Linked DNA regions of Drosophila melanogaster. The protein of the gene in region 2 interacts with the protein of the main gene of each other region in a pairwise test. Each region holds a gene or a part of one and is shown on either strand. Other genes may lie near its edges.

What was found.
Region 1: the proteins of Alg-2 (region 2) and POSH interact in a two-hybrid assay, tested with the Drosophila melanogaster proteins (one study listed by BioGRID).

The regions. Positions count from the first base shown.
Region 1 is NT_033778.4:17,566,966-17,572,883, forward strand, and holds POSH (plenty of SH3s), read left to right. Parts: upstream 1-1,766; 5' UTR 1,767-2,098; coding exon 2,099-2,212; intron 2,213-2,280; coding exon 2,281-2,389; intron 2,390-2,556; coding exon 2,557-4,201; intron 4,202-4,268; coding exon 4,269-4,448; intron 4,449-4,507; coding exon 4,508-4,801; intron 4,802-4,862; coding exon 4,863-5,037; 3' UTR 5,038-5,357; downstream 5,358-5,918. Other genes in the region: Ns2 (nucleostemin 2), read right to left, coding at 1-29, 88-766, 1,154-1,363; UQCR-6.4 (Ubiquinol-cytochrome c reductase 6.4 kDa subunit), read right to left, coding at 5,438-5,558, 5,687-5,739.
Region 2 is NT_033777.3:3,621,450-3,628,319, reverse strand, and holds Alg-2 (Apoptosis-linked gene-2), read right to left. Parts: upstream 5,178-6,870; 5' UTR 5,104-5,177; coding exon 5,045-5,103; intron 4,991-5,044; coding exon 4,615-4,990; intron 1,411-4,614; coding exon 1,309-1,410; 3' UTR 630-1,308; downstream 1-629.

The DNA.
Region 1 (5,918 bases), on a different chromosome or scaffold from region 2:
CAACTGACGGAATAGATTGATGAGCGCACCTATAAAAATAATTGATTTTTATGACAAATAATTGATATTTTTACTTTATAAACTTACCTTTTCCAAAAGGATGTTGTAGGGAGGCATGGAAGGCAATAGTAGGATATTCGGCACTAAGAATAGCCACCCAACGCTGCGTTACCCACACCGGTACCAGATCAACCTTGTTCAGAATGAAAAATAGATGTTTGTGCGGTTTTTCCTTGCGCAAGAACTCCTCAATGTACTTCGAGCGCGTGCCCATGGGATCGCGGGCATCAAGAACCTGAAGCAGCACATCGGACGCATCGACCACCTTGTGCAACTCGTTCCAGATGCGTTTACTCTGCCCCGCACCGAACACCCAATCACGGACGGCCTTCTTTTCGCCAGTATCCTCGCGGATTAGATCTAAATCCTTAGCTGAATCGTACTTATCGGCCTGGTCATCGGCCGCCTTGCTTAAATCTTCCAGATCGCGAACCTTTAGGCTGACGCGCTTGCGCTGCTTTTTGGGCCCAAAGGTACTGTCGAAGCTCTCGGTGTCCAGCAAATGAACCCTTTTGTATTTTGCTGCCTCGTTCAGTAAAGTTACCGGTAACTGGGATGGCTTCATGATCACCTGGTAGGGATCCTTGACAGCCTTGCCAATCTCATCCTGGAACTTTTGCAAAGCAGTTTGCGAGATAACGCGGGAATTGCTAAACCACTTGGGCGTAGGCTCAACTCGAGCCATTGTTCCAGCAGGCAGGCGCCCCTAAAATAAAGCACATTTCCAGGATTAGTATGAATTATTAAATGGGTTGTGGAAAACATATTCGGCATTTTCTCTCTTGTATTTAATTTTTTCTTTTATATATTTACAACAAGAATGAAAACATAAGATTTGTAATTAAATTATTATACGGATAATAAGTCGTAACAAAATATACTTATGAAATCTTTTTATCTTTTAATGCTTTTAATTTTGAGTCGATCGTTTTAATTGCACCTTTGTGAAGTAGATGATAATTTTGAAAACTAAACAATGGTTATTGGATATTCATGTTGCAATAAATCCTTCCTATGTCTATAAGTGATGGTAAATCTTATGAATCCAAAGATAAGAATTATCGAAGATACATGTTGTAAAGCTAAATCTCACCTGGAAGGGGGCGGGCGTGAGGATCTTTCCAGTGCGATCGCGCTTGGCCTTGAAGTTACGGTACATCTGAAGCCGCTTGATGGTGCCCTTAGTGCGGGGGTGGGCGACTCCCTTGAGACCGCTTTTGGGGCGCTCCGGATTCATGGAGTGGTTTGAGTGGTTGAATCCCTGCGTCCGGGGCTTACCCGGGGTGCTGCGTACCTTTGGCATGGTGTCTCAAGAATGTCGTGTGCCTTGTTTATAAATCAAATCGTATATTTGAACACGATCAAACCAAACCACACGTGTTTTTATATGAAATAAAAAAACAAAGGGATCGTGCGTTTTTCAGCACTGTCTGGACTTAGTATCCAACACTAAAATGCGCTTCAGAAAATATCGACTACGAGGACTGGCCACACTAAAATCCCAACAGTAATAAACACCAGTTTGGGTACAACTTAACAATTATTTGCATTTATTAAATGCAACTATAACCGGGGCACATGTGGTATTTAAATAATTTTTTGCAAATTTAGTGAATTTAAAAAACATGTAGTACTCTCTTAGCTTCTTTCTTTTTGGTTAAATGTTATGGAACTACTATTCCTATTGGGCATATACTTATGACCATCACTGTGTTCAAGTATCAAGCTGGTTTTATATCCGTGTGCCTATGTACATTTGTATCCGCTTGGCCACGAGCTTTGGCTGCACTTGGCAAACTTAATAAATTAAACATTGAATCCTGCCTATTGCAACGATAATATAATCTGATTTAGTGCATTAAGAACGACAAGTAGCGATTATAATAGTAGATTTTAGCATTTGAGCTAAATTTATTTCCCAACCGCGTCTTGGGATTGCGTATGCGTGAGCCAGTACCTGCATGTGTGTGTGTTTTGGAATGTGGCCCTGCACGAAATTCAAATAGTGACCATCCTTGAGATTTTGCATACTGGCAAGATGGACGAGCACACGTTAAACGACCTGTTGGAGTGCTCCGTGTGTCTTGAGCGACTGGACACCACATCGAAGGTGCTGCCATGCCAGCACACCTTCTGCCGCAAATGCTTGCAGGTGAGTAATTGTTGTGGGTTTGCTACATATATATCATATAACCGAATGATTTCATCATTCTATGCCAGGACATTGTGGCCAGTCAGCACAAGTTGCGATGCCCGGAGTGCCGCATCCTGGTCTCTTGCAAAATTGATGAGCTGCCTCCAAACGTCTTGCTGATGCGAATCTTAGAAGGTAACAGCTAACGCCCACACCAACCTAAACTGGCACAGCACAACAGCCTACGCTCAAAATCAAAGAATGGTTGACTTTATGAGTGCGGCAAAGTGGCTTTGGCAATTGAATATGGCGTTTACCTGGTCTTTACCTACCTTTAAACACCCTTTCTTTAATTCTCACAGGCATGAAACAAAATGCAGCAGCTGGCAAAGGAGAAGAAAAGGGAGAGGAGACTGAAACACAGCCGGAAAGGGCCAAACCTCAGCCGCCAGCGGAATCAGTGGCCCCGCCTGACAACCAACTACTCCAGCTGCAGTCACATCAGCAATCTCATCAGCCGGCTCGTCACAAGCAACGTCGATTTCTACTCCCCCACGCCTATGCCCTCTTTGACTTCGCCTCCGGTGAAGCCACCGATCTAAAGTTCAAGAAAGGGGATCTGATACTGATCAAGCATCGCATCGACAACAACTGGTTTGTGGGTCAAGCGAATGGTCAGGAGGGCACATTTCCCATCAACTACGTCAAGGTATCGGTTCCGCTGCCCATGCCGCAGTGCATTGCCATGTATGACTTTAAGATGGGGCCCAACGACGAGGAGGGATGCCTCGAATTTAAGAAAAGCACTGTAATACAGGTAATGCGCCGAGTTGATCATAATTGGGCAGAAGGACGAATTGGCCAGACCATCGGAATCTTTCCAATAGCATTCGTTGAGCTGAATGCAGCGGCCAAAAAGCTGTTGGACAGCGGGCTACACACCCATCCATTCTGCCATCCACCGAAGCAACAGGGGCAGCGGGCCCTTCCTCCGGTTCCAGTTATTGATCCCACGGTGGTCACGGAATCCAGTTCGGGATCCTCCAATTCCACGCCGGGCAGCAGCAATTCAAGCTCCACATCCAGCTCGAATAACTGCAGTCCGAATCACCAAATCTCACTGCCGAATACCCCCCAACATGTAGTAGCTTCCGGATCGGCGTCTGTTCGTTTCCGTGACAAGGGAGCAAAGGAGAAACGCCACTCACTAAATGCTTTGCTGGGAGGAGGAGCTCCATTAAGTCTGCTGCAGACCAACCGCCATTCGGCTGAAATTCTTAGCCTGCCCCATGAACTAAGCCGCTTGGAAGTTTCCAGCTCAACAGCTCTAAAACCCACGTCAGCCCCACAGACATCGCGTGTACTTAAGACCACTGTTCAGCAGCAGATGCAACCGAATTTACCCTGGGGATACTTAGCCCTGTTCCCATACAAACCACGCCAAACGGATGAGCTGGAATTAAAAAAGGGTTGTGTTTACATTGTGACCGAACGATGTGTGGACGGTTGGTTCAAGGGAAAAAACTGGTTGGACATCACTGGAGTGTTCCCGGGCAACTACCTGACGCCCCTGCGCGCCCGCGACCAGCAGCAGTTAATGCATCAATGGAAATATGTTCCCCAAAATGCAGACGCCCAGATGGCACAAGTACAGCAGCATCCAGTTGCACCAGATGTGCGACTCAACAACATGCTGTCCATGCAACCGCCTGATTTGCCACCTCGTCAGCAGCAGGCTACCGCCACGACCACCAGTTGCTCTGTGTGGTCGAAACCAGTGGAGGCGCTGTTCAGCAGAAAATCGGAGCCCAAGCCTGAAACTGCCACAGCTTCGACTACGAGCAGCAGTTCCTCTGGAGCAGTGGGACTTATGAGGAGATTAACTCACATGAAAACACGCTCCAAATCTCCGGGAGCGTCCTTGCAGCAAGTTCCGAAAGAAGCTATTAGCACAAATGTGGAATTTACAACAAACCCATCAGCTAAATTGCATCCAGTACATGTAAGGTTAGATCCGCAATAATAAGTTATCTTTATAGACCAGAATAAAAGTTTAATTGTTTTGTCTCTTCAGATCCGGCTCGTGCCCCAGTCAGCTGCAGCACAGTCAACCGCTCAATGAAACTCCAGCAGCCAAGACAGCGGCACAACAACAGCAGTTCCTACCCAAGCAGCTGCCTTCCGCTTCTACGAACAGCGTTTCGTACGGATCGCAACGCGTGAAAGGAAGCAAGGAACGTCCTCACTTGATTTGGTTCGTTAGGCTTAATTTGAATGCTTTAACTTTTAACTGACTCTTGGATTTTGATTCAGCGCGAGACAATCATTAGATGCAGCTACATTTCGCAGTATGTACAACAATGCCGCGTCGCCGCCGCCACCTACTACTTCCGTGGCCCCAGCTGTCTACGCCGGCGGTCAGCAACAGGTGATTCCTGGAGGTGGAGCGCAATCCCAGTTGCATGCCAATATGATTATTGCACCCAGCCATCGGAAGTCGCACAGCCTAGATGCGAGTCATGTGCTGAGTCCCAGCAGCAATATGATCACGGAGGCGGCCATTAAGGCCAGCGCCACCACTAAGTCTCCTTACTGCACGAGGGAAAGGTGGGTTTTGCAATACATTATTGTGAGCTTAGAGATTTACTAATGCAACCTTTTATCGTAGTCGATTCCGCTGCATTGTGCCGTATCCACCAAACAGTGACATTGAACTAGAGCTACATTTGGGCGACATTATCTACGTCCAGCGGAAGCAGAAGAACGGCTGGTATAAGGGCACCCATGCCCGTACCCACAAAACCGGGCTGTTCCCCGCCTCCTTTGTTGAACCGGATTGTTAGGAAAGTTATGGTTCAAACTAGAATTTATTAAGCGAAATTCCAAATTACTTGTCTAAAAGGATTCAATCGTCGGTCTATTCGGGCTTCCAAATACGCAATCTCATATTTCTCTTTTCAAAAAAGAAACCGTTTTGTACTCTTCCAATCGAATGGGCAGCTCGCCGTTGTACTTTTTTATACAATGCTTGATCAAAATAGGCTAGCCATGTAAGACTTAGGGAACAGTTACTTAAGCCTTAGCGATTAGTTAGCTAGAGAAATAATCTAACCGATCCTTGTGCCCTCTACAAAGTTATTTGTAATATACGATACTCAGTAATACCCTTTGGTCGTTTTAACTTATTTTATTCACCAAGCAAAACATCGAGGCTAACTGTGGATTCAACTACGGCAGGCAAGGTTACTCGCTTTTTTCGAACTTGGATCCGTAGATGGGCACGTACTGTAGGACCAGCTTCCAGTCGGTGTAGTAAAGCACGGCCAGGCCAGCAGCTCCTCCGAATCCGGCTCCAGATCGGATGCTACGAATTAAAAGAAACTAGTTTAGTTCTCTGGATGGGGTTATGCAATGTGTGCTTTGGTAGCAGTAAAAGAGCGGGAACACTAATGAATTCATGATGCAGAATCAAGCACGACAGCATATACTTACAAGGAACTCGCTATCTCAGCGTGCTTCTTGCCAAAAGGTATGCGGAAAGCCATTTTTGTTGATTTAATAACTTTTCACACGCACCAAAATGTTCGCAATGAACGCAATAGTTTCAAATGTCCTAAATAATACCACTACAGTGTGACCGTAGGATAGCGTAAAACTTTAAAAGCAAGGTGTGACAACACTGTGCGGCCTACGTGAGAACAACAACTAGTCATCAACAAAAACT
Region 2 (6,870 bases):
TCAAGAATATATATACTTTATATAGTCGGAAACGCTTTGTTCTACCTGTTGCATACTTTTCAACGAATCTAGAATAGTCTTTTACTCTACGAGTAACGGGTATATGTAATTAAAAATTAGACTTCCCTAAGAAGCTGTAAATCTTCTGTCGACTCTTCAGCGAACAGCTCTTTTCTACGCATACAGTGATGGCAGACAACTGTATGTGTGCACATGTATGCTCGTGCATTGTAAATTTGACTAAATATGTCCTTCACCTTAGAAGTTCTTAGACTTTAAATGTATATTATTTTTGATCAATTGGCACAATTGGCGAAAAATTCTTGTTTTGCATTGCCTAAACGTTATTATTATTTAAATATAGCTTAGAAATAGTAATAGCCGAATCATATCGCAAAATAAATTTCAAAAATGACTTTATATTAGAATATTTGTCATTAGAGTATTCAGCTTGCGGCGTGTGAAAAATTAACACGGCAATGATCGTTGAGTGCTTGTGTCCGCACTTTGTGCTTTGTATGACCAAAGCAAAAACACTTGAATAATTCTAGTGTCTTTGATATGACTTCTGCAATAAACAGTTTTCATATTTTTTTTATTTAATAAGTTTATATTTTCTACTACGTATTATTTTTATGAAATATTTATTTCTCAATGTAATGTCTTCTTTTTGGAAAAAGAAGTAGTAGTTATAATAATTTCCTTTGTATGTATGTAAATGATCCAGTTTTATTATTTAAAATGCACATTAGGTTGTTTTTCATATTGAGTTTTTTTTTATATTCTAATTTAATATTTTTAAACAGCGCGCAATTTCATCATATTCCTACGAAATTGGCCAAAACTCCCCAAATATGTAAATCGGCCCGAAAATCGTCTTCTATCACAACACGCACACATATACGCGTTCTGGTCTCTGGTTTTGCTCACTCAAGCAAGAAAATTCTATTTTTAGATTTCTTCTCTCAGCGTAAGCGAGCGGACACAGGGCAATTTTGGCCGTCACCAAAAAAGTGGCTGTATAGTGCTAAACCAATGTATGGCCGTTACGCATCTTGTTATTCTACTGTCTTTGGTTGAACTGTTGCGGTCTTAGAATCACAGTATATTAGAAATTCCTGGAGAAATCTGAAGAGATATTTTCGTCTATCGCCTAAGTTATAACAGTTTTTATTATCAACATTTAAAAAGTTTTTTGGTAAAAAACTCTTAAAAGGAGGTATGCTCTTTCGAATAAAAACTTTTAGCAATATGTGTAGCTGTGTATAGCGCAAAACAAATCATTTATTTAGTTTAGATCACTTAATACTATATTTTTAACGAAAATACCATACTTAAGAACTGTTCGTAATGTATGGTTATGATCCCATCCAAGTCAGTGTCGTGCTGGCGGAATGCAGTTGTTAATGTCTGTAATAGAAAAATTTAGTAATATTAATATATGTCCGGGGTCCGAGTAAGATCGCGGCAGGAGAAGCTGTAAAAGTAGATCAGCAGGAGAAGCTACAGGTGTGTGGAATTCCGCATAGACAGCCGCAAGCGTGGACTAAAGCCAAAAGTTGTTATAGGACATTTATTTATTTTTTTTTTTTTGATATTTTTGAATAATTTATATAGTTGTGTAAATTTCTATCGATTCGCCAAAAAACTTTTTGCCATGTCCACTCTAACGCCCTAAAACCGCCCAAAGCTGCCACTGCCTAAAGTAACGGGTATCTGATAGTCGGGGAACTCTACTATAGCATTCTCTCTTGTTTTTTTTTAGTGGATTCCTGGTTACATTTGTGTTATTATAAATAGGTGTGTGTTTTTTCAAACGATTATCGCTAATTGAGGATATCCGTAAATCGATTGTGCATTTTTCGTTGTTTCATTCGCTGTTTTCGCGCATTCAAAGTGCATCATTTTGATTTTTCTTACAAACATTTTTCAACATCTTAGTACGACTTAGTAAAAAAAAATGCAGCGACCACGACGTTCAAATCTTGCAACGCGAAGTAGAACAGCGCGGCGGTTGGCAAGTCTTCGTCAGCGTGAATTGCGCATAAGAAGAAAGTGAAACAATAATGCGTGAAGAGGACGTCGTTCTGCTGCACGTGATAATCAAGAAACTGAAAACAGACGTGTGCGGCGTAAAAATATTGAGACGGACTTGAATTGAGCATCATATCGTTTTGATGCTATAATGAATGGCACAATCAATGCATTGATTTTGGTGCGATGATTGTTTTATGCCAGCATTGTAACGCACGCAAATATCCAAAAGAAACTATAGGGTTGTGCTTTGCTGATGAAAAGTGCCACCATTTCAACCAGAGCCATTACAATCTCTTCTGTCTGGTGATGGTTCAGTTTCATAACATTTCTTAGCTAACATTTAGATGTATTGAAAATAGTTTCATGCCAACCGTTAAAATAATTTATATTTTGATTTTGCAATGGACGAGCAAACATGGACACAAACATCATTTAACAACGACATCTTATTTTCATCACAACATAACATATAACTTTCTTGATTTATAATTTATTTATGGGTCAAAGCGGTTTGACAACAGTGCATTTACCTTAATTTCGACAGATTCAAGGTTTATCATATTGTGGGTTCACTTATGCCAGTCCCAAATTCGGATCATCGCTTTTTTCATTAATAAATAAATTTTTCCATTCAAAATTTATTGCTACAAATAAGTCAATGAAGAAGACGACGTTTTAATTATCTAATTTAGTTTTTAAGTTAATTGAAATTACCAAGGCTGTCCCCGCATATAATGTTAATTTTGTTAAGAAACATCAATCAGCCGCGTCTTTGCTACGGTACGGGACTAACGAAATTTGTACGAAATTTAAAATTTCACAAAATAAAATTTATAACTTAAAATTTGACGTTTGGGAAATTTATTTAAAATTGATTCGATTATTTTTAATAAGCAACTCAACTTTATTTTCATATACGCTTAAGCCTAACTAATCTAAGGGCGAGTTCTGCGGAAAAGTTTTCTGAGGAAAGGAAAGTTTTATTGCACTCTCGATCCCGCTCCCAGTGCGTTAACTAAAGTCCACTAACAGCTCAAAATTGTCACCATCACACTTAAATGTTTTAGCTTTCATGTTAAATATCTAGCGATATACAAAAATTTTCCGAATCACTCCCTCAGTTTAGAAGATTTTATTAAATGATTGTCTAGCCATAAATGTAAACGACGAACATTTTGATAATGTAGAAAAATCAAGAGATAAGGCTATAGTCGAGTTTCACGACTATCAGATACCCGTTAGTTCAGCTAGTTCACGTGGGACATAGAATTTTCAACATTTTCAAGGAATAACAAGAGAAATTGAGGGGAAAAATAATTTTAATGTTCTAAGGTCTGGCCGAGATAGATTTGGGTGGTGTCCAGAGTGGGCGTGGGCAAAATGTTTTCGCCATATCGATAAAATTGGAAAAACAACTGAAAAAAAAGAGAGAGTGCTATAAACAAGTTCCCTGACTATTAGATACCCGTTACTCAGCTAGTGTGAATGCGAATGCGAAATTTTTTTATTCTTCTGGGATATCGATAGATATTGGGGATTAAAATGAGAAAAAATTTAAGAATTGTTCCAAAGTGTGGGCGTGACCGGTTCGACGACTTTAGGGCGTTAAAGTGGGCGTGGGAGAAGCTGCGTCTATGTCTCTAGAATCTGTATGCTTAATCTCAACCTTCTAGCTTTAATAGATTCTGACATATAGATTTACACTCGGCTGTTGATCCTGATCAAGAATATATGCTTATTTTTGCCTGTTACAGACTTTTAATCTAGTATAACCTTTTGATTTGTGGGATTAAAACGTTCTAAAGAAAATATGCCCTGCGTAAGCATTGCTAGAATCACTAGTTACTCTACGAGTAACGGGTATAACAAATTAGAATGCTATGGTAAATTACCTTGCCTATCATAGCTTAAAAGATGTGTATTTAGATATTGATAGAAATAAGTAAAGTTGTGGACGCTTTAGCCGCTTTGTGGGATTGCTAGAATCACTAGTTCACAACGTTTATACTAGTGTTTCTGATCAGGGATATACACACTTTATAGGGTCGAAACCGCTTCCACTACATACTTCTCAACGAACGAACGGGTATACTACCCGTTTACGAGTAAAAGGTATAAAAAGGATGGCATAGAGGGAAATGCGCCAACAACGGGAAACGACAACAACTTATATATGAATATAATCAATAATAGGAAATATAGACATAAGCACTCTCAGCTAAACTTTACACATCCTTAGCGAGCATAACAATGGGAAAAGCATTGCTATAATATCTCCAACTTCTCCAACTTGCACACCCCCAATCGAAGTAATGGGTATCTGATGATTAGCATACCTCCCGTGCACTCCCACTACCTGAGTAACTGGTAGTAAAGAACTCGACTATAGCGTTCTGACATATTTATAAGTGGTGAGCGTTTGTTTGCAAAGACATTAGAAAAAACCCGAAACGCCATACAATTTTTTCGTGCTGGCTTCAAAGCTATCTCAAAAATTTTTTCATAAGCCAGACAGCGAAAATCTCTAGAGCCAACAGCTACCTTGTACTCATATATTGCAATAACAGTCATACTTACATACAGCACAATACAACATTGAATAAAATCATCGAAAAGAATTGTACCACGCCCAAAGCGGTCAAATTTTCGTAGTAAGACGTCGATTAGGTGGTCAGATAAACGATAACCAAATGATGTCAGTGCTGTTTTCAGCTCAGTTTTGTCAATATTTCCAGAATTGTCACGATCAAAGGATCGAAAACAATTTTGCCAATCCGTCACATACTTCCACAACGCTCCAAAATCTTTAAAGGACACAGTCCCTTTATTTTCACGATCAAACATTCCAATCATCAAACGGATAGTCTCCGGATTAAATGCAGACCAGGTACCATTCGAAAGGGCCACTTGTAGCTCATCTGCGGATATATGACCACTCCTATCTTTATCCACTCTAAAAAAAAGTCGCTTTATCGCTAGTTAGAAGTATTTATTCTGTGACTGTTACCTTTGAAAAACATCCCAAAGAAATTGCTGGTCTGGCATACCATCATGATTGTAGGCCATTGGTGGATACAATTGGTTTGTTACAGTGCAAACTTTGCAGAATAAAACTGTTATCGTTTATTTGAGGACATACAATTTTTGATTAATATCAATGTGCAATAATTTGACAATTTTAATTATACCATATTCCAACAGACCTAAATGTTTCATTATAGACTATTCGCACAGACAACAGTTGAGAGATTTAATTCTAATATATGATATAGATTATTTATATCGCCATTAGTAAGCTAGCTCAACAAGTTTTGACATAGTTTTAAGATTTAAGATATGTAATTAAAAGGAAATAGGTCTGTTAAAAAATCGCTTTTCCGTAACCAATTTTTAAAATTGACTAATGGATTAGCTAACGGAAAATCCCTCTTCTGTTTTAGGAGAGTAAATATATAGATATAGAATAAAACACCTAAACGCATATATAACGAAACTTTTTTCCCTAACCTTCAGCTATTTATATGGCACAACTAAACTGCAGATTAACCACCCACAGGTAGACCTTTAAGAATGCTACAGAAAACACTTTCGCTTCAATTTCGCTACAGCACGAAAACACTCTCTTTGACTCTTTGATCAAAGTCAAAAACACATACAAAATTTTTTTTTACAAAATTTAAAATTATTCTTTTTAAGTGATTAAAATAGCCGTATTAATAATTACATATGTAAGCATAATCATTATGGCCCAGTGCCCAATCCAATACAATTTGTGCACCTGCAGTGACACTATTTAGTAAGAATTTAGAATAATATTATATAAAAACACGAAACCAGAGTAGAATTTTTGGAGTATCAGATACCCGATACTCATCTAGGGGGAGAGAGCTGTAGAAATTTAAAAATATTTGTTTCTTTGTTAAGCTTTAATATATTAAACTATTTATTAAATTTTTAGGTGACGATTTATTTTGCCATTTCATTAGAAACTGGTAAAGCAAAAAATGAAATTTAAAATCATAGTTCAAAAAATTTTTTAAATGGAGGAATAAAAATTTTGTACGTTTGTGTCAAACCCAAACTAAGGCAGACGAAGCGTGTCAGGTAATTGAGCCAATTGGAACATTATCATCGGGGATATAACATTGTTCCAAAGTGTGGGCATGACTGGCTGGTCGACTTTTGGGCGATAGAGTGAGCGTGGCAAAAAGTTTTTTGGCAAATCGATACAAATTTACAGGATGGCATTGCCGGCCGTCCTAACACAAGTAACAGCCAACGATTACCAGCTATCTCTGGAGTACGAACATGACGTGAGTTTAAAGAACTTGGAAAAGATGGCCGAGGTCATTCCTAACGGAGGCAGAATTGGCTCTGCTCACCTTTTCTCTCTTGTGTTTCCTGTGGAGGAAACCAGGCAATATCACCGTGATCTCGCATCCGCCCGTTGCCTCCGGACAGACCAAGGCTACTTAACCTGTGGGACGCAGGTCTTAAAGGGGGAGGAGTTAAAACGCAGCACTTTCTTCTCGGGGTAAGCGGGGCAGTTCCTACCCCACCACCATCGCAGCGTCAGCATCTGGCTCGCTGGCACCACTGCAGCGGCGGTCATTGTTCTGTAAGCGGTTCAGTTCGTACCCCACCTTCATCGCAGCGTCGAAGCCGACAACATTAGCGTCCGGTTGATTGAATTTTTCTATCCTAAGTGTATTGAAATAAATTGATTATTATATATGGAATATATTACGAATTGTTATAGATCATCTGGATCATCATCACCTTTTTTAGGATTTCAGAATGATTTCGCTATGGGAATTTATTGTTTTCTTTTGA